Linked DNA regions of Oreochromis niloticus. The protein of the gene in region 1 interacts with the protein of each later gene in a biochemical or structural test. Links are inferred from orthologs where the notes say so. Each region holds a gene or a part of one and is shown in the gene's direction. Other genes may lie near its edges. The genes, in order: erbb3b, nck2a and abl1.

What was found.
Region 2: the proteins of erbb3b (region 1) and nck2a form a complex in vitro, tested with the Homo sapiens proteins (2 studies listed by BioGRID and IntAct, with this or other methods). The link is inferred for Oreochromis niloticus from reciprocal best matches to the Homo sapiens genes ERBB3 and NCK2.
Region 3: the proteins of erbb3b (region 1) and abl1 form a complex in vitro, tested with the Homo sapiens proteins (2 studies listed by BioGRID and IntAct, with this or other methods). The link is inferred for Oreochromis niloticus from reciprocal best matches to the Homo sapiens genes ERBB3 and ABL1.

Annotation. Positions count from the first base shown.
Region 1 is NC_031984.2:19,601,816-19,610,297, reverse strand, and holds the start of erbb3b (receptor tyrosine-protein kinase erbB-3b), read left to right. Parts: upstream 1-3,274; 5' UTR 3,275-3,809; coding exon 3,810-3,885; intron 3,886-5,249; coding exon 5,250-5,404; intron 5,405-5,536; coding exon 5,537-5,723; intron 5,724-8,442; coding exon 8,443-8,482. UniProt on the Homo sapiens protein: Tyrosine-protein kinase that plays an essential role as cell surface receptor for neuregulins.
Region 2 is NC_031987.2:20,986,887-20,995,368, forward strand, and holds the start of nck2a (cytoplasmic protein NCK2a), read left to right. Parts: upstream 1-3,807; 5' UTR 3,808-3,926; exon of another isoform or gene 3,927-4,122; intron 4,123-6,146; exon of another isoform or gene 6,147-6,232; intron 6,233-8,482. UniProt on the Homo sapiens protein: Adapter protein which associates with tyrosine-phosphorylated growth factor receptors or their cellular substrates. Maintains low levels of EIF2S1 phosphorylation by promoting its dephosphorylation by PP1.
Region 3 is NC_031972.2:21,282,640-21,286,239, reverse strand, and holds the start of abl1 (tyrosine-protein kinase ABL1), read left to right. Parts: upstream 1-1,125; 5' UTR 1,126-1,699; intron 1,700-2,441; 5' UTR 2,442-2,669; coding exon 2,670-2,796; intron 2,797-3,600. UniProt on the Homo sapiens protein: Non-receptor tyrosine-protein kinase that plays a role in many key processes linked to cell growth and survival such as cytoskeleton remodeling in response to extracellular stimuli, cell motility and adhesion, receptor endocytosis, autophagy, DNA damage response and apoptosis.

The DNA of each region.
Region 1 (8,482 bases):
GTAAGAAATATCCAGCATTCAAGTATCTCACCTATGATCTGTGACACCGATGCACTAGCAGTTCCGATGTGGCTAAACATCCCTCCCTCTTTCAGTGACTATTTTCAGATTTTAACTTTCAAATAAAGAAAAATATTAAATGAGGCTGCACGACATTCCAGCTGGCGATTTGCTCTCAGAGAGAAACAGAGTATAATATGAAGAGGGGGAAATTTAAGACAGAAAATCAGAAAAACCTAAGCAGGTGCAAAAGTGTTGAATGATTTAATTATTCCTGAGACTACATCAATAAATAAAAAGACCAGAGTATACATTTGCTTTGCCTTGCTCATTTTTTTCCTTGCTATCGTTTATCGTCGCACGTGTTGGTTTGAAAACCCCAGCACGATTACGAGCGTGCTGTCTTTATCTTCTCTTGTCTGTGGCTCAAACTCAATTTCAAGTTGACAGTTCGCCCCAGAATCAAATGTGCGAGTCATTATTTGTCAATCATTGTTCTTGGATAAGTTGCCCAGTTTTGAAGATGTTTGTCTGCTTGAATAAAAGGAAGCTACAGAGTATACTTGTGGTGCTCAAAGCACCAAAACACTATGTTTGATGTGGGTGGTGAGTGCAGTGTGGTAGAACGAAGGCAGTTCTCACACAAACTACTGTATTTGATTTGGAGGTGATGTGTCCTTTTAAGATCCCTGCTAGGTTTCTTGAAACAGTTTGGTCCTCAATTTGTTGGACAGAGACACTGTTTTTGTAGTTTTGCTTCTGTACAGTCATTTTTGAGTCAAAGGACAAATTAAACACACAATGTCTGAGGTTGATTCAAAGTGTAGAATTTTTATTTTATAGTTTTTATTGTTATTTTTAAAACATGAGGCTCATAAGAGATGTCATTTCAAGTGAGGGAGACAAGTTAGCTTGAAAAACCCAAATAAATAAGAGCAATAATGAAATAATTAGGAATGGCTGAAGCAACATTCTTAAGAAGTATAAATGCAGTGATCAAGTCAGCAGCTCCCAACAGGCCTGGAAGACCAGCGAAGACAAATGGAGTGCATGATGACAGAATTATTTCCATGGTTAAGAAAAACGGCTTCACAGCATCTAACCAGATCAAGACCACACTTTAAGAGCAGGCGTGTGTGCATGTCAGTCACATCATGACTGTTTGATTTAAAATCTGCTGTGGCGGTGTACAGAGGCAACACTACAAAAACTCTGTCTTTGCACAACACATTATTGACCTTACTGTACTTCTCCTTCATTGATGAATCCATAATAAACAGTAAAATATTTAAAAACTCTTAACTGTTGCCTCAACACATATATGTTCAATTGATTTCATGTGTGCACCGGAGGTTTTAAGTTGCGGCCACATCTGGCCTCCAAACTGGTTGTGATGTCACAATATCCTCTTATGCCTACACATGTTGAACTTTGATTTAAGGTGAGTCCAGAAGGACGTTCTTTTCAGCAGATTAATAGGAAACAGCTTTGACGTCCCTTATGACGCATGTATCACTCTGCACAATAAAGGTCAAAAATCTAAATGTGAGTTAGACTGGGTTTTTTTTAATGAAGTGGGAGTTGATCGAGAACAGTTTTAACTCAGTAAACTGTTTACCGTACCAGTCATCAGCTAAGACTAAAATCAGACTAACAGCACATATTACACAACTGTGGGATTTGGCTCTACACAGCCTTTCTTTTGTCCTTTATTAACTGCTGTTATCAAGAGAAGTTTGGCACAATCAGGTAGTTTGCCTGTGGAATTGCTGCACTTCACAGAGAGTCATTTTGTCTGAGCCAATCAGAGGTCCATGTAGGGGAGAGTGCTGCTGTGTCTCCAAGGGTGTGACAGCAGTATGTGAGTCGGAGCTGCTCCCGGGGCCACCAGCCCCCTTGGCCCCCTGCAGGACCGCTACAATAGTGGCCCCAGGGCGGATGCCATAGCTGGGATTCCCACTCGTAACCGGGACACCTTCGCCCAGGGCACAGACACACTGGCAGCAGCCCCACAATCAATTCATCAATCTCTGAAGGGAGTGGCAACTCCAAAAGGCCACAGCAGGCACCCCTCACAGTTCCCCTTGGAAGGGACAGGGCCACCAGGGCTGACACAGAGACTTGACACCATGGTGGCGTTGTGAAAGTGCCAAGCTCTGTAAATACTATAGGCTGCTATCAAAGCTATCTTGACGGGACAAACAGAGAAACTCTCATGTGAAAAATGAACACACGCACAAAAAAAGTGCATCTGGTGACAATCTTACACTTTTCACCGTTTTACTCAGCAACAGGAAAGTTTCACACTGACTGCTGTTTATGAAACAAAACAACTGACTCAGTCTTCAAGATTTCTTCCAACATTTTTGGGGCAATGGTGTTTTTTTCCCCACAAAGTTTTCCACTATTCAGTGACTGACTGGATTAAAGGCTGATTATTTTATTATAAGAAATTAGAGATTGGATCAAATGTCCAATAAACAGTGTAAAAATAGCCATCCATGTGCAAACGCTGAGTCTACCCACCACAGGGCCCTGCAGCAGCTGTGAAATAGGACGCCTAAGTGTCAGACTCTGGCTCCTCCTGCTGGACAGAAAAAGAGGCTGGAGTAGGGCATTTGAGACTCCTGCTTTAAAGTCCAGGCAGATGAACAACAAAGACATTAATTACTGTACACATAAACCGCGCTGTGGTGTTATTTCTTGGCGTCTTTTACCATCAGGTTGTTGAGACGAACATTAAAATCCAAGTTCATCTCAATCTCACCATTCTTCCCATTTCCTGCACATGGATGCTTGCAAACAAACTGTGGATTGTTCGGCTCTCCCCTCCCTGCCGCATTCAAAAATAAGATTAACAGTACATCTGTCAGAAGCGGTTAATGATTTCCATCCATTAGTGGCCCGTTTTCACCCGCAGCTCCGTGTTCAGGAATCTTGTCTGCTCCGAGGCCATTTTCTCAAATTAAGCATGTTCTTGTTTTGGGTTCAGAAGTCACTTGACTGTCTGACAATGTGGCCATTGTGGCAGGCTGCTCCATACGCATCAAAGAGGTGATTAACCAGTTGACAGGGCTGCGGGGACAATACTGCTCTTTACGGGGGGAAACAGTGCGGCCACTCAGAGCGCTGGGCTCTTACTGGGTGGGGGGACCGAAACGCTGCTTCCACTGCTGACAGCATGAAACAAAAATAACTGGTGTTCACACTGCTGCACACGGCAAAGATTCACATCCAAAATCAGTTAAATGCTACACTGAACGACCTGTCCTTGTTAGTCAACCGAGTCTGTCTCAGTGACTCGTGTGTCATTTAGCTTTTTTGTTATTATAGTGTTTTAGCCACGCGTGTTTGTAATTTTTTAAGCTTTCTGTCAGCAGTATTATGTCAGTCGTTTCTCGAGGGCTTCATAAATTTAGCAAAATTCTTTGCTTTAGCGTAACAACCGAGGCTTCAGCTCGAAATGACGGACAAACCACTGATTGGTCGGGATATCGGCCAATCACACGTCCCCATCTGGGAGGGAAATTCCCTCATCACAATAAACTACAACTTGTTCTCAGTTTTTCAAGTAGTCTGAGGGATGTTTGCGGTCTTATTAGGTGTTTTGAAGGAGTTGCACTTGTCCTTCACTTTGACTCATGATTTGATCGGATTTTCCCTTTCATAGAGACTTAACTCTTAACTTTTACACCCCCTACTGTATATTCTTTAGTCAAAGTTTTCCCTGCAATACATATTGGCTCTTCGGAGGACTACCTAAACCCCTGTGATATGCATAGATCTCCGTGAACAGGCTGGACATCAGCATGGAGCAGTGGCGAGTCATTTTACTGGGAGTGATTTTGTCTTGGAGACTTCGAACATCATCTCAAACGCATGAAGGTGAGGATATACGTGATTCTACATCTGAAATCCTGTCTTCATTAAGTTTGAATCTCGTGAAATTTAGATAATACCTCAATTACCAGACAAATTCTAGCAATAGAATAGAATTAACTGTATGCACTTAAAGCTTTCGTAGTATAAAGTGATAAACCTCACCATGCCATTGTTTGCTTCACAGCTCACCACTCTTCCTTAAAAGCTTTTTTATTGTTATGATTAGGGTCTTATCCAGGCCCTTGCACTGCACTGTAAAAATCTGCAGAGAACAGCAAAGATTCACTTTAAGAACCTCTATTTACCATTAACTGATTGTCACGCTGTCACTAAATTCTTTCTAATAAAATTTAATGTGGTTATCTGCAGTTACAACGACATTAATGTGTCTTTGCTAACATTCAGATCTCCCTTTGAGATAGCTGTCAAACAATCACACTGTTTTTCTTTCCTGTCAGGACCTTTTGTTTATTTACTAATTTCCGATCACTGAGCCCTTTCATGAATGTTTTATGAATGTTTTTATAAATACAAAACATTAACAAATAATTTAAGTACTAATGCCTGTTTTTGAGTATCCTAAGTATGAGTTGAATATTATTGAGTCCTCCCAGATTAGCTGAATGATTCAGGGCCAGTGTTTGCTTAAAAGAGCCATGTATGAATATAAGTGTGCATTAGGCAACAGTCCTTTGTCAGCATGTAACTTTCCATTGTTATTATGCAGCAGTCTTCAGGGGCCTATAGCTGTGTGTTATGTGTTCATAACGAAGACAAGAGATGTGACTTGTGTTGAGTGAGTGCTGCAGGTGGCTAACGTTTGCACATTAAAGGACCAGTTCCTCAGTTTTCTTGCTGGGCACTCAGAGATGGTGTGTATGTCACCTTCCGTTCACGATATTTCCCTTCCCTCTGCCAGAGAGTCCCATTCACACACGGCCCATTGTCTTTTGGTATGATCTCAGCAATGCGTGGCTTGCAGACGCACATGCACACGCATACACAGAAGCACTGTCTGTCACTGCAGCACTCATCACTCACTGAGACACACTGTCCACATTTATAGCTTTACAACAATGAAGCACTTTGTCTGAGGGGGAAAAAAAAGAAAAAAAAAGTCACTCTCTCTTCTGACCCCCCTGGCCTCCTCTTCATCAGCCCCAGGCCTGTACTGCTCCATGTAAGCGGGTAACAGCCTGCCTGTTTCTCTCTGCTTCACATCAAAATCTGTAGCCAGCACAGGCATGAACACAGCATCAGGGAGAGTCACCAACCCTATAAATACCACAGACACAACACAGCCCACAGTACTCAGTTTCCCAGTGTTATTTACGTTCATTTTCATCTTTATTCCCTATCTGTGTTAGAAGTGTGTCCAGGGACGCAGAATGGACTCAGTTCCACGGGCTCTCAGGAGAACCAGTACAATCTGATTAGAAACCGGTATTATGGCTGTGAGATTGTAATGGGAAACCTGGAGATCACACAGATTGAGAGTAACTGGGACTTCTCCTTCCTCAAGGTAAATGTCATGTTTCCTTACTCTCCAGGCCTCCAGTCGGTAAATTTGAAAAAAAGCGTTAAAAAGTGGAGAGTATATTGTAGAAGTAGCCTCTTATATTGCCTCTTATATTAATGGTCTTCTTCACTCTAGAGAATCCGTGAGGTGACTGGCTATGTCCTCATTGCTATGAACCACTTTCAAGAGATTCCTCTGGGCCAACTGCGCGTCATCAGAGGAAACAGCCTGTATGAAAGACGTTTTGCTCTATCGATCTTCCTCAACTACCCCAAGGACGGCTCCAACGGCCTACAACAGCTGGGACTCGCAAACCTGACGGGTTAGAAGAACAACAGAAAAACAGATATTAGAGAAAGAAAACGTTCAATGTTTGTTCTGTAAAAGAAAATGCTTTCTGAAACCCAAGGCGTTTGTAACAGTGGGGAGTGGTGCATTACATAAAATGGAGCAATTAAACTCAACATCTCAGATCAAGCCTGGTCCTACTGGAAGTCCCTGCCATCAAATACAGCTGTGGTCAGAAGTTTACATTGTTAAGGTTCATTGTTGAGAGAGGAATCCATAAATAACCACAGATCCGGTCCAGTGTGCAATTAGACAGTATTTTAATAAACACATGTGTGAGTTCAACAACCCAATCAGTATTGAACTGTCTTTACCATATTCAGACAACAGTTTTATAGGGTTAAGATAGTACAGCCCCCTTTTCTGTTGGTAGGCAGATTTAATACAGCATACGTCAGCCTAAACCACAAAATGTTCCGTGAACTTTAACATAGTTTAAAGTACATTGTCTTCGGGTCGGTGCTTCCCCTCAGCTCGTCTTCGCTGTCGCTTATCTCCTGGGACATCTGTTGCACTTCCTCTAAGTACGTCGGCACAATTCTGCATTTGCAGCAAAAATACATCTTCACTTCTGCCCTACCAAAATAGATCTATTATGGTGTGTATGTGTGCACGTGCGGGGGCGCGTGCGTGCTGTGTACTGTGTACGTGTCATGACCTCTCACTATTTGTGTCTGTATGTGTGTCTCGCCCTTAAATGCTCTCACATCTCACCCGTTACACTTCTGACCTTCACGTGACCAGGAGCCACAGCTCTTTAATATGCTCAAATGCAATCATGTATAAAAGATTAAAATCATTTTCATAACACAGGCTTCTCCTTCTCAGCTCTGCCAATATGTTTGCTCGTCTCTATTACAGTTTGATCATTGAAAATTACACTGATCAGCATACTATGTGGAAGCTACAGATTACATAATGGCAAAAGCATTTTGTCGGACCCCTCATTCCCCCTTTTGACCTCTGGCTGACCAGAGGTCACCATACTTTCAGGTGCATCACTCCTTGTCCCATTCAGCTGCTTCCCTGTCCACCCCTGACGTCGTGGACTTTAGGATCACTGACCCTCTCTTGGCATCCTGTGACTTAGCAAACCAGACAACCCCATGTCATCTAGGTGGTCTTAATAATAAAATGCCCGCTCCCACTTGAGAACACTCATGCTTGAGGTTAATCACACCAAAGTATCAGTGAGCCTAAAGTTGATCAGGGGCAGGAGAGAATAAGAGTGCGAGCAGAGCTCAATCAGCACTCCTCCCTCACCCCTGAACCCAATCATACCCGGTGAGAGACCCCTTACACTTGTGAATCTCTAGTGGTCTGTCCCTTTTCTGGGTCCTTCTCTTGTGGAAATCTTCTCCTGTAAAGGATAGAAAACACCTTCTCCCTACTACGGCTCTAACTTACTCTGTTCCTCAAGTGCTCTCTTTATTCAAACTTGATTCAACCTAATATTACACAAAACATGAACCTAATTTCGTATTTGGTTTTTGACTTTTATTCCTATATAATCTTAAACATCACTCATCTCAATCTACAGCATTTTAACAGTCTTACAGCACTGCTGCTACCCCTCAACATCCACTCAACATGGGCATGAATGTCATGGGAAGTCTGGGCTTTAAATGATTCCTTTGAATTGACCGGGACCTTTCTGTGTGGAGTTTGAATGTTCTTGGTGTATTTGCATGGCTCTCCGGCTTTCTCCCACAGTCCAAAGACATGCAGTTAGTGGGGTTAGGTTGATTGGTGATTCTAAATTACCTGTAGGGGTGAGTTTGAATGCTTGTTTGTGTCTCTGTGTTAGCCCTGAGTCAGATTAGCAGCCTGTCCAGAGTGTACCCTGTGTCTGCCCTGTGGCAACTGGGATGCACTCCAGCCCCCCTGTGACTCTGAATTAGATAAGTGGAAGAGATGGATGGATGGATGGATGGATGGTCCTTCAGCACATTGTCTATCAATCACCTCATCAGGATGCTTTTGGTAACCATCAGCAAGTTTCTGGCATAATTCTTCTTGGCAGAATTGAAGTGACAGTTTGAGTCATCTTCTGGACCTTGGTGCCAAAGCAGTGACAATTTAAATGATCTCTACCAGACCTGCTAAAAATAGTGGTCAAATGTCCAGCTAGAATTATCCCAGAAGCTTTTTGAATATGGTTTTCCAAAAGTATCTTGACAAGGTACAACTTACTAAAGGACATTTAACCAAATATAAAGGGTGTATGTGTATATTTTGGACCCTGTGTGGTTTAGAGAAAGCCCCAAATAAATTCAAACTTGCGCACGTAATTCTTGTTTTTTTAAAGACATTAAAGATGTATGGTGCAAAATCATTTCACCCTGGAAAAAAAAAGAAAGAGTTAAAAGAAATCAGTCCAAAATTACTTTGACGTTCAGGCCCATGATGAGTAGAGATAAACTTCTCACCACATCTGTTAAACTGTAATTTTGATTTTTTACATTACAATTGTGAACTGGTGCTACATAAATAAAACTGAAATGAAATGACCTGAGAGATCATTTCTTTTACCTTGTTCCAAATTCTGCATCTTTTATCATGAAAAAATTATTCTCATACTGTTTTTTTAAGTGTATATTTTGATTCACCTTTGATACTGATATATCTGCTGAAAGCTGTGTTAACCGTTTTCTCTGTCTAGCTTGCGTTATGTTTCACTAATGTTTTCACAGAGATTCTGGAGGGAGGGGTGCAGATTATCAATAACAAATA
Region 2 (8,482 bases), on another chromosome or scaffold:
GCTGTTAAGCACGGTGGTAGAGTGGTGATGAATAGGGCTGGTTTTGCAACCATAGAGGATTATTAAACTATTCTGATTCTGCTTTTTATTCCAGAAACACATGTGAGAGCTAATTTTAATATCCACCCATTAACTCTCTGTAACTCTGTCTCTACAAACCACTAACCAACTCTCATACCCTCTTCAAACCAGCCTTTTCCAAAGTGGATGTTTTAACAGCGGGGGGAAAGCACCATATCTACATCTGTGACACCAAGATAATACATTTCTGCATTTTGATGAATACATCCTCTCTTTGAAGGATCAAAGATGCTCATTTCCATCATACGTAATCTATGTTTCAGAAGGCTAAAAGTCTCACTTGGCCTTGAGGTCAGTGAATTGCAAACATAGCACAGGAGCCGCTGGTTCATCACGTACATCACCACCTCCGGTCAGATATACTTAAACACGGGGTGCCTTTCTGCCAAAATAAACATCCAGTTTCATCAGCATGGTAACTATAGCTCCGCTCAGCTGCAGGCCCCTCACCAGTCGACGATACAGTGTCACTGGTGACAATATGAGGGGCGTGGCTCTAAAATGGAAGACATCCTGGTTATAGCAGCAGCAGATAGAGTGGTGACATGTGTGACTCAGTCTCGATTAATAAATCAAGTTTGCCTCGGGATTAGGAGGAGTGGGGTATGAAAGACAAACCATTCCAATAATTTTGCACTTCTTCAGCAACATTAAACACCGCCTCCTCCCCCCTTAGACATGTAATGTTGTTTTTGAAAGTTATATAATGAACTTTATGCTGAATGATATCCAATCGGGAAATCTAATAATACCAAGTGTAGCAGTGTGAACACGCACATCAGCTCTTTCCAATTACCCGTGAGTCCGCAGCATTAAAACGGATTTAACTTTTAACGTGGATGGTTAAAAATAAGCACGTGCTTACAGTTATTCATCCAACTGTCCTCTAATTAAATTAGTTTGTTGAGGTAGAAAACAAAATTGTGTATGATGAATAAGACAGGGTGGTTGGGGTGAGGGGTGGAGGAGTGGAGTGTGGGTGAAAAGGTCAGCAGATGGTCATTTATTTGTCAAATCCTGACGCTATGGTGATGAAGGTTGGTATGTTAGGCATTCGCACATGATTACGGGGACAGCGCCCGTGATCCAGGTCACATACTTTATCTTTTTAGCACTGTTTCTTACAATATGCATGCAAATGGGACACACTGAGTCGTGATACTGCGACTTTGTATTGGTGGTGCAGAGTTTGGTGGATTAGAAGGGACAAAAAGCATTTTAGCTTTTGTGTTGCAGAAGGGGAACAATGCAGGCAGACATCCTGATACTTTTGGTGCACTACATCTGACCTGCTGCAGCATTTAGGGCACATTAAAGCTTTTGGCATACCAGTAATGGATATGCATTTCTTCCAAGGATGTTCTGCCCCCTTGTGACAGCAAATCCAATGCTACAAGAGCCTCTCTATACACGTGCAGTGTTATTTTCACTCTCACTGCACACTTTGAAATAAAGACAAAAAAGTGTCGCTCAGGCCTGCTGAGTTGAGTGTCAAAGGGCGTTTACAGGTAACTGCTTTGCTTTACATTGCAGGAATGAATAGGGACGTGTGAAGGCGCAGTGTAACACGGTACGCATAAATGAATCAGCATCGGTGGATTTGGGCCAACTGAACTGTTAAAACAGATGGATATTGCACATAAGAGATTAGTGGGAACAGAAGGTTTTGGCTATGAAAACTGTGTGTTGAGTAGGATCCAAATCCAGTCATAAATTACAAATGTGTAGTAGTCAGAGACACAGGATGTAGTCTTAATGTGAGACTGCACTTTTACAGCATTCAAAACAGCGATATTATTTTATTTTTTTCTTACATGACAGACAAACTGTCATAAAACTGACATGTAATATATAGTTGAGAAAAAGTCTTTAGAGATATTGACTAAATTCTGGCCTTTTGCCACGGCTCTAATTTCTCAAAATTAGATCTAGAACATTATTTGATTTCGAATGGTGCCCATAAAAGCAAATCACCGTGGGATACTGAGCAAGGAAAAACGGGACACTTTGGACACTTCAGTAGGGACTCCATTCCTAAATCAGATCGGCATCGACTCAGTGCAGCTTTCTTTTATTACCATCTTAGGACTGACTTGTTTTGATTGGATGTAAAAACCAACCTGTTATTATGCAACCGGTTACTCGTGCTCAAGGTTTATTCATGAAAATGCGGCCTTGTCAGTACTCATGAGATCATATACTGTATGTTAGGTGTGTCTAACAAACATAAAATACAACGGGGGGGATTTTGCTCTGATTGCTTTTAATCTGATTGCTCTTTGATTACTAAACCTTAGTACTGGTAAATATCAGACCTGCTCATTGAACCTCTAGCGTGTCAAGGTGTTTGACTGTTTTTAACTCTTTTTTTCACTCTAACATGAGCTAAATGCAACGTCTTTTCCGCCTCGTGTTATTTTTAACAGTTTCAAGTGTGTAGGATGATTTATTTCTGTAAATAGCACACCATCTGAGTGATGAAAACCGTGAGAAGGAACACACAGATGAGAAAACAACCGCACAAAGTCTAAATTTAGTGTGTGAACAATGGAGTTTACTGTGTAATATACGACGAATACTTTGGTATGATTAATTACATAGTTGACGGGCGAGCAGGGACTTTTTGATGAACTCATCAATACTAAGTTTTTGTTTATGAGTTTACTCAAGATAATCACTTGCAGGCTATTGAAAAAAAAAACCACTTTGCATGTAAAAATAAAATAAAATACATCCGTTTTCCCAGTGTGGTCGCCAAGGGGCGACACAGTACCTCACATTTTCTCCCTTTCTCTCGGCGTTGTCCTGTACGAGTCCCGGTGTGGGTGACGTCACCAAGGGGACCGGCGATCAAGCTGAGCGCACTCAACGAAATCAAACCGGAAATCAAAGAAGGTGTCTTCGAAATAAAAGCATTAGTCGTCTTAGATCACTTGGATAACACAGAAGCAAAATTTCATTGAAAATTGTAGGCGCAAACATGAATAACAGAAAACTGAATAAAAATTAAAATAGAAAATAAAATATTTTTAAATTCATAATCTCTGTTTGCATCCTGCTTAACATTTCTTTTCACACCTAGCCACAGCCACCTTGGGAGGGTAGTGAGACCTGCTGTTATGTGGGGTTTGGAGATGAACAAAAAGGACAGGGAGTTGAAGATGCTAAATTTTTCATTGTGAGTGACCAGGTAAGTTTGGAGATAGAATTAGAGAGAGTTTGGACATTTGGAGAGGGAGATAGGTCGTAGGTTGAACAAAGGATATTGGATATGAAGCTGCCAGGCAGGGGGAAAAGAGGATGATGACAGAGAAGATTCGTGGATGTAATGAAGTTGGTTGTGTGACAGAGGAGGATGTCAGGAATAGGGTGAGATGGAGCCAGAGCATCTGATGTGGTGACCCCCTAAAAGGAGCAGTCAGATGAAGGAGAAGACCCAGAATCCTTCTGGAAACAAGTCTTTGTGAAGCTTCTAGACACCTTTAAGGGCAGATATTTTGACGAATCATCTGAATTAACTTATTAAATAAAATACTGGTTACTTGGAGATTTTAAAAAAAAAAAGGCATAAACCGAAACACAAGACATATCTGACTTAAAAACTTAAAAACTTTAAAAATCTAAACACATTTATTAAAAATCTATTTTTCCCACCTGGAAGTTAAACTTCTATCACCATTTCCTCCGGATTTCAAATTCAGCTCGTTTGACTGCAACGTCTGTACGCCCAGAAGAATTTATTTTGAAAGCAAAGAGCGGAAGTTGGCAGCCCCATAGACCAAGCTTGAAACGAGTGATTGAGGTGGAGGCAGTCAGCCTGCGACGGAAAAAACAAGCGATAATAGGTCGGACACTTCATGCTCGATTCTTGTTTTAAAAGAAAGAAAAAATAGAGAAACCCGTGGATATGTGGATGTAGGGGGTTATCTTTGCGGCTTTCGCGCGGGCTCCCTAACTTACAATTTGATTGGCGGGTTCTGGTTCGGGGTTTGTTGTTGAGCGTGTCGCTGTTTGCCCATTCTCACTGGAGTGAACACTAAGGTAAGCCTTGTAACCGCAAATGAACTGTGTTAAGTTGGTGCACTTGGACCGGTCGCTTTGGCCATTTCAGTGCTGCTTAAACAACCGTTTTTAGTTAAATTTGCCCGCGAAAAATGTCATTACAAGCTGAAGTAAAAGTTGGGGTAAAGAAAAACGGCAGCTTGCTCGTGCCACTTTGTAGGTTTGACGCTGGGTCTTTGTCCACTCAGAGGTGGTTTCACTGGACGCTGTGTGCTACAGCCTCGGTTTTTCCTTGCGTTTGAGTGGTTGCTGTTAACTAGCCACACAAACAGTGATATTTTTCTTTTTTCATTTTTAGAGCCAGACTAAATGGTTTTCAATTTATCAACTTTACCATTTAGCAATTTTTGTGCGGGGCCACTTCTTAAAGGCCTGTAAGCGCAAGCTACTCAAGCAATCCTCAGGCAGGTCCTTTAGACTGTTTTCTCAGGCAGCTGCTCTTGTTTGAGTAATTTCTCGCATTTATATCTCAAATTAATAGAAATCCACACATAAATTCATGTTATTTTTTTTACATTTACAATGCACTGCGTTTGTCAGCAGGCCTGTTTAAAAACGCAGTGGCTTACACAATGAACCACATTTGCCAAAACACCATAGACTGGCGACTGGTGCCACATGCCGAGATTGTCAATGTTGAATGTCTAGTGGCTTTTCATGGTAACTACACCGTGCGTCCTCCTCATCAATAGCAGCAGAGAATAGCATGCATTGTCTGTCTTGCTGTGGCAGTTATTGTCCATAACTAAAGTCCCTTTTATTCTAGAAGACGGGGGGAAATTTGCACTTGCATGCAAATGCAAGGACTGAGGTTATAAGAAAGCACAGTTTCTCTTTTTTCTTTTTTTCAACATGCAGGTACACTTGCGTGGCACACCTATTCTGCCGACACACCCTCTGACAAGAGCACCATGTTAGCTCTGAGTCTAGGACAAGGTTCACTCAGAAGTGACAGGTATGCCGTGTAGGCATGTGCAATAATGGAGCGATAAAGTGTGAATTGCATAAACGTCCATTACATCACAAAGCAAAGAGAGAACGCGAGTTTCAGTGCTTTGCATTTCCAGCATATCAGAAACTAAAACTAGAAAGACTGCTAATGATACCGAGAAGTGCAGTAACTGCATGTACTCAGTGGAAATGTGAGCTTTTCGGGCTGACTTCACACTCAAGTAACATTTAGTATGAGTGTTGTAGATTATGTGGTGGTTCAGTTAAACCCTAAATTTGACCTGAAACTATTAGTTATGGGAATTACGGTGATCGGGTAATTTGGGTCTGATTCCACCTCTCAGTGAATATTTGCTGCATTTCTTGATCCTCTATGATTGTAAGCTGAATATTATTGCATTTTTGATTGGCAATCAAAAAAAGCGGTATTAAAATAACTCACGCCGTGCCTTTTTTTAGAATTTTATTTTACGACTTATAAACAGTTATAACTGAGAAAGTAATGTAGAAGTGAGTCAGATAATTGTTGCAAACCTGCTGTATCCTGTTGCATGTATGTTTTTAAATGAGGTTTTGATCTAAGGCATATTTTGTAGGTACATTTTGAAGGAATCATTGATTACCAAGTGTGTGCACATGTTAAGCAATTTTGTCATTTTAATCTAAAGCTGATTAAGTCAATTTTGCAGATGCTGCTTTTTTCCCTCTTTAAAATCTTTGTAAACCAATTATTTGGGGCTTTTTCTAACTGCTGGTTGCTCCAATTGCATCATTTAAAGGAGTCTTTCATTACCTCTCCTTTCAAGAATTTATAATTGACATGTTTCATTATAAGCTGGACTTATAGAAGAGCCCTTTTCAAAATGACACACATTAAATTGCCTCCATGTGCTGCGGAGACTGAAACCAATGGTGCGTTCAGGCAGCCATCATCAATTAATAAAGTCAAAAATTTTAAGAGTCAATCTGTGGGAACTTCCCCTTTAATAGTCTGCCAAGTGTTAAATGCTGGAGATGAACTGAAGCTATTTTTTTTTTTTTTTTTTAACCAGTGTGTGATTCAGCATTTGGATATTAAAACATGCATGGTTTTTCCTACCATAATGTGCCTAAGTGAATGAAGCAGCCTGGACAACAGGTAATGATTAACCTCATATCCAATCTGATAGAAAGAACAAACACTGGTGTTAATATATGACTTTGTTTGTTTCCACCTTGCATGAGCTTTGTCACTTTAAGTTGATATGAAGGCAGCTCGTAGCAAATGTTGAACAGAATACTCTGGACGTCAGATGATTGCATAAACATTTGGTGCCGATTTAGAGAAAATAATGTAATATGAATATTTCTTAGTATATGTGACGTTGATATAAATACGAGCGTGTAGATCGCCCTCGCATTTAGTGACAAATTGCTATTTTTTGTCTTAACTTCCCCTATCAAACTTGGAACATGTGCACGTTTGTCATTTGAGCTGCATTTTTTTTCTTCTTACAGATGAGAGAGTAATCCAAATCCTCTTTCTTCTGTGTATTTGATTGCACTTTTATGAGCTGCAACTAATTACTCTGCTCGTCTTTCTTGTGTATGCCTAATGGGCCTTAAAGAAAAAAAAAAAAAAAAAAAAAAAAAAATATCCCTTGCATACTGCCGCGCTGTGCCCGCACAATATTTTTTTCCTCTGTTGTTTTGAGTGGAAGCCAGTGGAAAATGACTTTGTTCCGAGCAAGTGATGCTTTGCTTCTTTCTTATTTTGCTGATTTATGTGATTTGTACTTGAAGTGGTCTTTTTTTTCTCTCTCTCTCTCTTTTTTTAAATGTGAAGAAGGCGCTGAGTCGATCATATGCGATCTTAAATTGTCTGTAATGTAGCAATGAATCATTTATAGTCTAATAACATAAGTGGTAGTTAAATGATTTAAGATTTCAAGTGCAGGCGAAATATATCTTTATTTTTATGCCTGCTGTGAGAAAAGGGTTTTAAAGCCTATTGCGTCATCCTCTTTTATTTTATGACCTATATTACATGGGCTGTCTCTTGGAGAGTGAGGGTAATTTTATTTACACTTTCTTCACATTGTCTAGAACGATGTGAAGAAAGTGTAAAACGTAGGTTTTTGTGTAGACCTCCCAAACAAAATAATAGAAATTTATTTCCAGCAATATTTTCAGGAGCCTACAGCAGGGGGGAAACGTCCATGGAAAAGGATTTATTTATTTTTTTCACGTGGAAAGCATAACATTTCATGTCCCTCAGGGAAAAGGCTTAGTAGGAATGAAGAAAGAATTAATAAATGCTGCAAGAAGACACTGAGCAATGCTTCTGAAGAGAATCATGATGGAAGCAAGATGAAGGCCATCTCATTGTCATTGTAATCATCTGTAATCTGGGGAATAGTTATCCATTAAACTGACAGTACATGCAGTTATGACAGTGGGCCCCCTTTCTGTGACTCTGTAATGTAAGAGAAGAAAGTTGATTCATGCTGCTGTTTAAACTGGCTCAGGAAGGTTACCGTGTGTGTGTGTGTGTGTGTGGTCTTGTTGGTTAAATATAATCTTTCTTCATTTGGGTTTTGTTTGTTTTTAAAGTTGGTGTTATTTCCTTCAAACCACGTCACTCCAGCCCATCAATGTTTTTTTTTTTTTCTTTTCTTTTTTTTTTTTAATGTTATGATAAACATGGCTCTGGGATGGAAGTGTCAGTCGGTCACTTTAGCGCACTGTGGTTTATTTTAACAAATATAGACAAATGGAAAGATAAGTTATGCACAGATATTGTTAGTGTATAAAGTGATCATCATAAGAATTTCCCCTTCCTTATCCTAGTGTGCTACATCTGGTCCAAGGTGTTGCTTATTCTGTGCAATGATTTTTTTTTTTTTAACATGATTTTTCACAGTGTAGTGATTTGCACATTTGCCTAACAAGCAAAAGATCCCTGATTTGATGCCGGGGGGAGACACAAATCCCTTGGGGGTTTCATCGGGAAGGGCATCCAGCATAAAAATCTGCCAAATCAAATACATGGAGAGATCCGCTGAGGTGACCGCTTGTCACTAAGGGAGCTGCTGAAAAGTAGCTTTTCTTTTCAAAACCGACTTAATATTTATTCAGTATAACCTAAAATTAGTGACTGAGCCCATAAACTCTGTAGAAAAGCTTTTACAGAGGTCAGGAATGAAAAACCCTTTCCCATAGACTTTAATAGAACCATAAATCTCTTTGCAACTGGAGCTATCACCATCTGGTGTCTTCCAGATAGATGCAGATTGTTAGGGACTTCTGCATTGGGTTTATTTAACCAACATGAAAGCTGTGTCTGTTTTATACTGTTTATGGCTGCGGTAGGCTGGGCCTTGGAAGACCTACATGGTGACCATTATGC
Region 3 (3,600 bases), on another chromosome or scaffold:
GTGCAAGACTATACTTGAGCATACTATAGTTGTGAAATAAAGTGTGTAGATCCCATGGAAATTGGTAGTTTTTAGTTATTATTTTAGGTTTTTGAGGGTATTCTTGCATAATCCATCCACTTTAAACGGCTAAATAATGATGAAATGGGACTTTTCTTGAATAGGTTGCTCCATAACCTCCTTTTCTTCTGTTTTACACATCCTTTGGTGGGTTTGCTAATGTGCTAGGGGTCACTAGCTTGTAAAAATATTTGAGCAGCTGGAACTCTATGATAAAATTCAGAAGTCATAGTTGACTCAGTAGTTGCCCAAACTGCCCAGTCACTGAGACAGTGGAAAACCTAAAGCAAACCCAAACCATAATGTTTCCACCACCATGATTCACAGTATGAGTATGGCTTTGGTATTTGCCACTTCACTGGTACTGTAAACTGTAGTTTTATTCTAATTTTCCTCCTGGACAATAAATGCTTTCCCCTGACACCTCTCATGTAGGTTAGATTTGTATAATATCTTTCTTGCGGTTGTAAGAATCCCTTGCTAACCCTGTGAAGAAAGTTTGTGACTTCTCTCTGCTTTTAGTGTCTTTAAGTTCCCTTAAAGTGAATAATGACAACACACCTGAACACAACAATATATATGTTAGAGATTTAAATTAGGTAAATTCCCATAGATCGTGTAAAATATATATTTATATACAATCATAGGTTCACTCCCTACAGAGATCCTGATAACATGCCACCCCTGATTCTGATAAGTACTTCAAAGTGGGATAAATGTTGAGTTAGATGCTTTAAAACTGAGTAAAGTAACTAAATTTGTGTAATTTATCTGTAAGAAAAGAATCAAGTGTTTTCATAGTTTGATATGCCAAAATGCATATATCCTTAAAACTATTAGGCCTGGGCTAGATCATATTCTTGAGCATTGAGTTCTTTATGGCTTTGATAAAATCCACCATTATATGTGTGGGTGGATGAACCTTTAACCTGTGGACCTTCAGCTTTTCTCCCCTGTGTGAGCGTACTCTCTCTGCCTCAGCGTGGCTGCAGTGTTGTTGCTCTTCCAGCACAACAAAACCTTTGCTCTTGTCCTCCTGTGCTAGTCCACGCACGCACGTGACGTCGTACGTCGCCCCACCCACACACCCAGTAAACCACCTTGCGTATGGAAGTATGGCGGCCCCAGCTACAGAACTACTACTCCGCCAAAGTTTACTGCTGCGATTTTCACGTGAAAGCTATGAATAAGTACGAGAGCCAGGGGTTCGGTAACGAAGAGCTCGGCGACTGTGAACAGAGGAAAGGACTTGTAAAAAGAGTCATCGCTCTCTGCCCCGCTGAGTTGCCTCGATTTGCCTTGATTGAAGTGCCTTTTAGTCCGGGTACCGCAGGGGAAGAAACTCCGCAAGACGAGAAAAGTGGACACGGAAGTTTGAAACCAACTGTGGCTTTGGAAAGACCAGCTGCAAAGTCTTGAAAGGGTGGCGGTCAAATCATGTTTTTGTGAGACGTTTAAGTGCACTTGTCGGCGGTTTCCCTACCAGCGAGCCAGCGACAGCCAACTGTTGCCTGCTTGGTGTGCATTTAAGGGTCTGGCGCTGCATACCACCAGCAGACGTTGGTTAGCTTTCATGGCTATCTCCAACATTAGCATAAGGTCGCCAGCTAACAAGCCACATAAATGTTTCTGTGACCGTGTAAGTTTCTCTAAACACTTGTTTTTACTCCCTACGGCGTTCGTAACTAGAGCAAAAGTTTGCTTTATGTGGCACATTTACTTCAGTGCCTGTTACTGATGATTAAATGATCTTTCTTTTTTTTTTCTTTTTAACTTTGCTATTCCAATAAAATAAGGGCAGTAATGTTATGGCTATCAATACTTGCTACTTTTCTTGCTTTTTCTTTCCGTGACTAGTTTTTAAATCTAACACTTGGCAGTTTTTTTGCATATCTATAATAGAATAAAATAGAATGGCCCTTTATTGTTATTGTACAACTAAATTGTGGGTGCTCCACACCAACTGTGCGGAATAAAATGTAAATGGCAGATAGCAGTAATAAATATGAGTGTAGCTTAACCTAGATTAGAGGTTTTAATGGCTATCTTTTTTATTTAAAGAGCCTTGAGGCAACTGATATTGTGTTTGGCGCTATATAGATAAAACTGAATTAAATAGACGTGCATTAAAAATAGAAAATTTAGCTGAAGTTTAGGCTATATGCAGCAGGGAAAACTAATTTGTATAGAAAAGGAAGCACCTGACATCACAGTTAAAGTGGAACACAATAAAACTAAATGGGCAGTTAAGATTAGCTTGTGGTTTGTTATTTGGCACATAAACTACCAGTCAAATTAGTTCTTGTTTTATTTTGACTTTACGGTCACATATCTTTGTGTTAAATGAAATCATCACTGAATCTTGTTTTATTTGTCTCTAGATCGCTGTGAAATGTCCCGTAAAGCACTCACGCTCCATTAATGCATGATAAACAGAGACATACTGGAGCATCACTGATTTGTGCTGGTGACCTCCATCACCTAAATTCTGGGAGGGGAGTGCCCGAGCCAGGGGAACGGATTCTTTTCTTTTCCCAATCTCCTCTTTTCCTGGTGGGCAACTGAGTCCAGCTTGGAGAGTCCCGGCTGCGGCCTGGCACCCTGCCCTTATGGGGCAGCAGCCGGGGAAGCTTGTAGGGGACCAGAGGAGACCCAGTTTGCCGGCCTTCATCAAGGGCTCGAAGAAGGAATCGTCACGCCATGGGAACCAGCCCTGTAATGTTTTTGCTGTGCACGGTAAGATCAAATATTTTTGTCACTTATTACATTGACAGCAAATGGATTTCCTAAAGTATAATAAATTTGCTCAGTAGGGGAAATTCTTGATTGAAGCTTTTTTTTTTTTTTTGTCACAGGCAGAGTCAAAAATAACAAAGTTTTTTTTTTTTCAGCAAAATAAATCCCACAGTGAAAATGCGCACATTGGAGCAACCACTGTACATATTAGCCAAAGATCGATTATGATCTGACTAATTAATCAATGAAGATGAAAAAAATTGCTGTCCAGCTGCTATATTTATGTTCTTTTGAAATTTTGCACACTTTGTGCACAAGCAGTATATTTTTAAACCTCATTTTTAAGAAAAATGGTGACATGTAGCTTGTATTTGATGGAAATCTATCAGTAAACATTACCAAAGTAACTGTTTTTACCAGGAGATGAGTTTACACTTGACCTTTTACAAGATGTAATTTAGTTTATTAAATGTGTGTTTATTATAATAATATTGACCTCCACAGATGGAAGCAATGTTTTAATGTAATGTCATAATGTTTAATGTATCATTTTGGCATGTCAAGTGTACAGCACTTTGTGTTCAGCTGGGGGCTGATCTGAAAGTGCTATATAAATAAATTGCTTGCTTGCTTGCTTGCATAAAAGTTTTTTGAGCTTCTTGGGCCTTCAAACCTTCAACACAGTCTTTAAAATATTTTTAGCAAATGTGTGCAGTATGCTGAGTGTTTTTCTGACTTTACACTGTCAGACACACGAGATAAACTTTGAATGGCTGCTCATTGTCAACATGTCAAATCTTAACA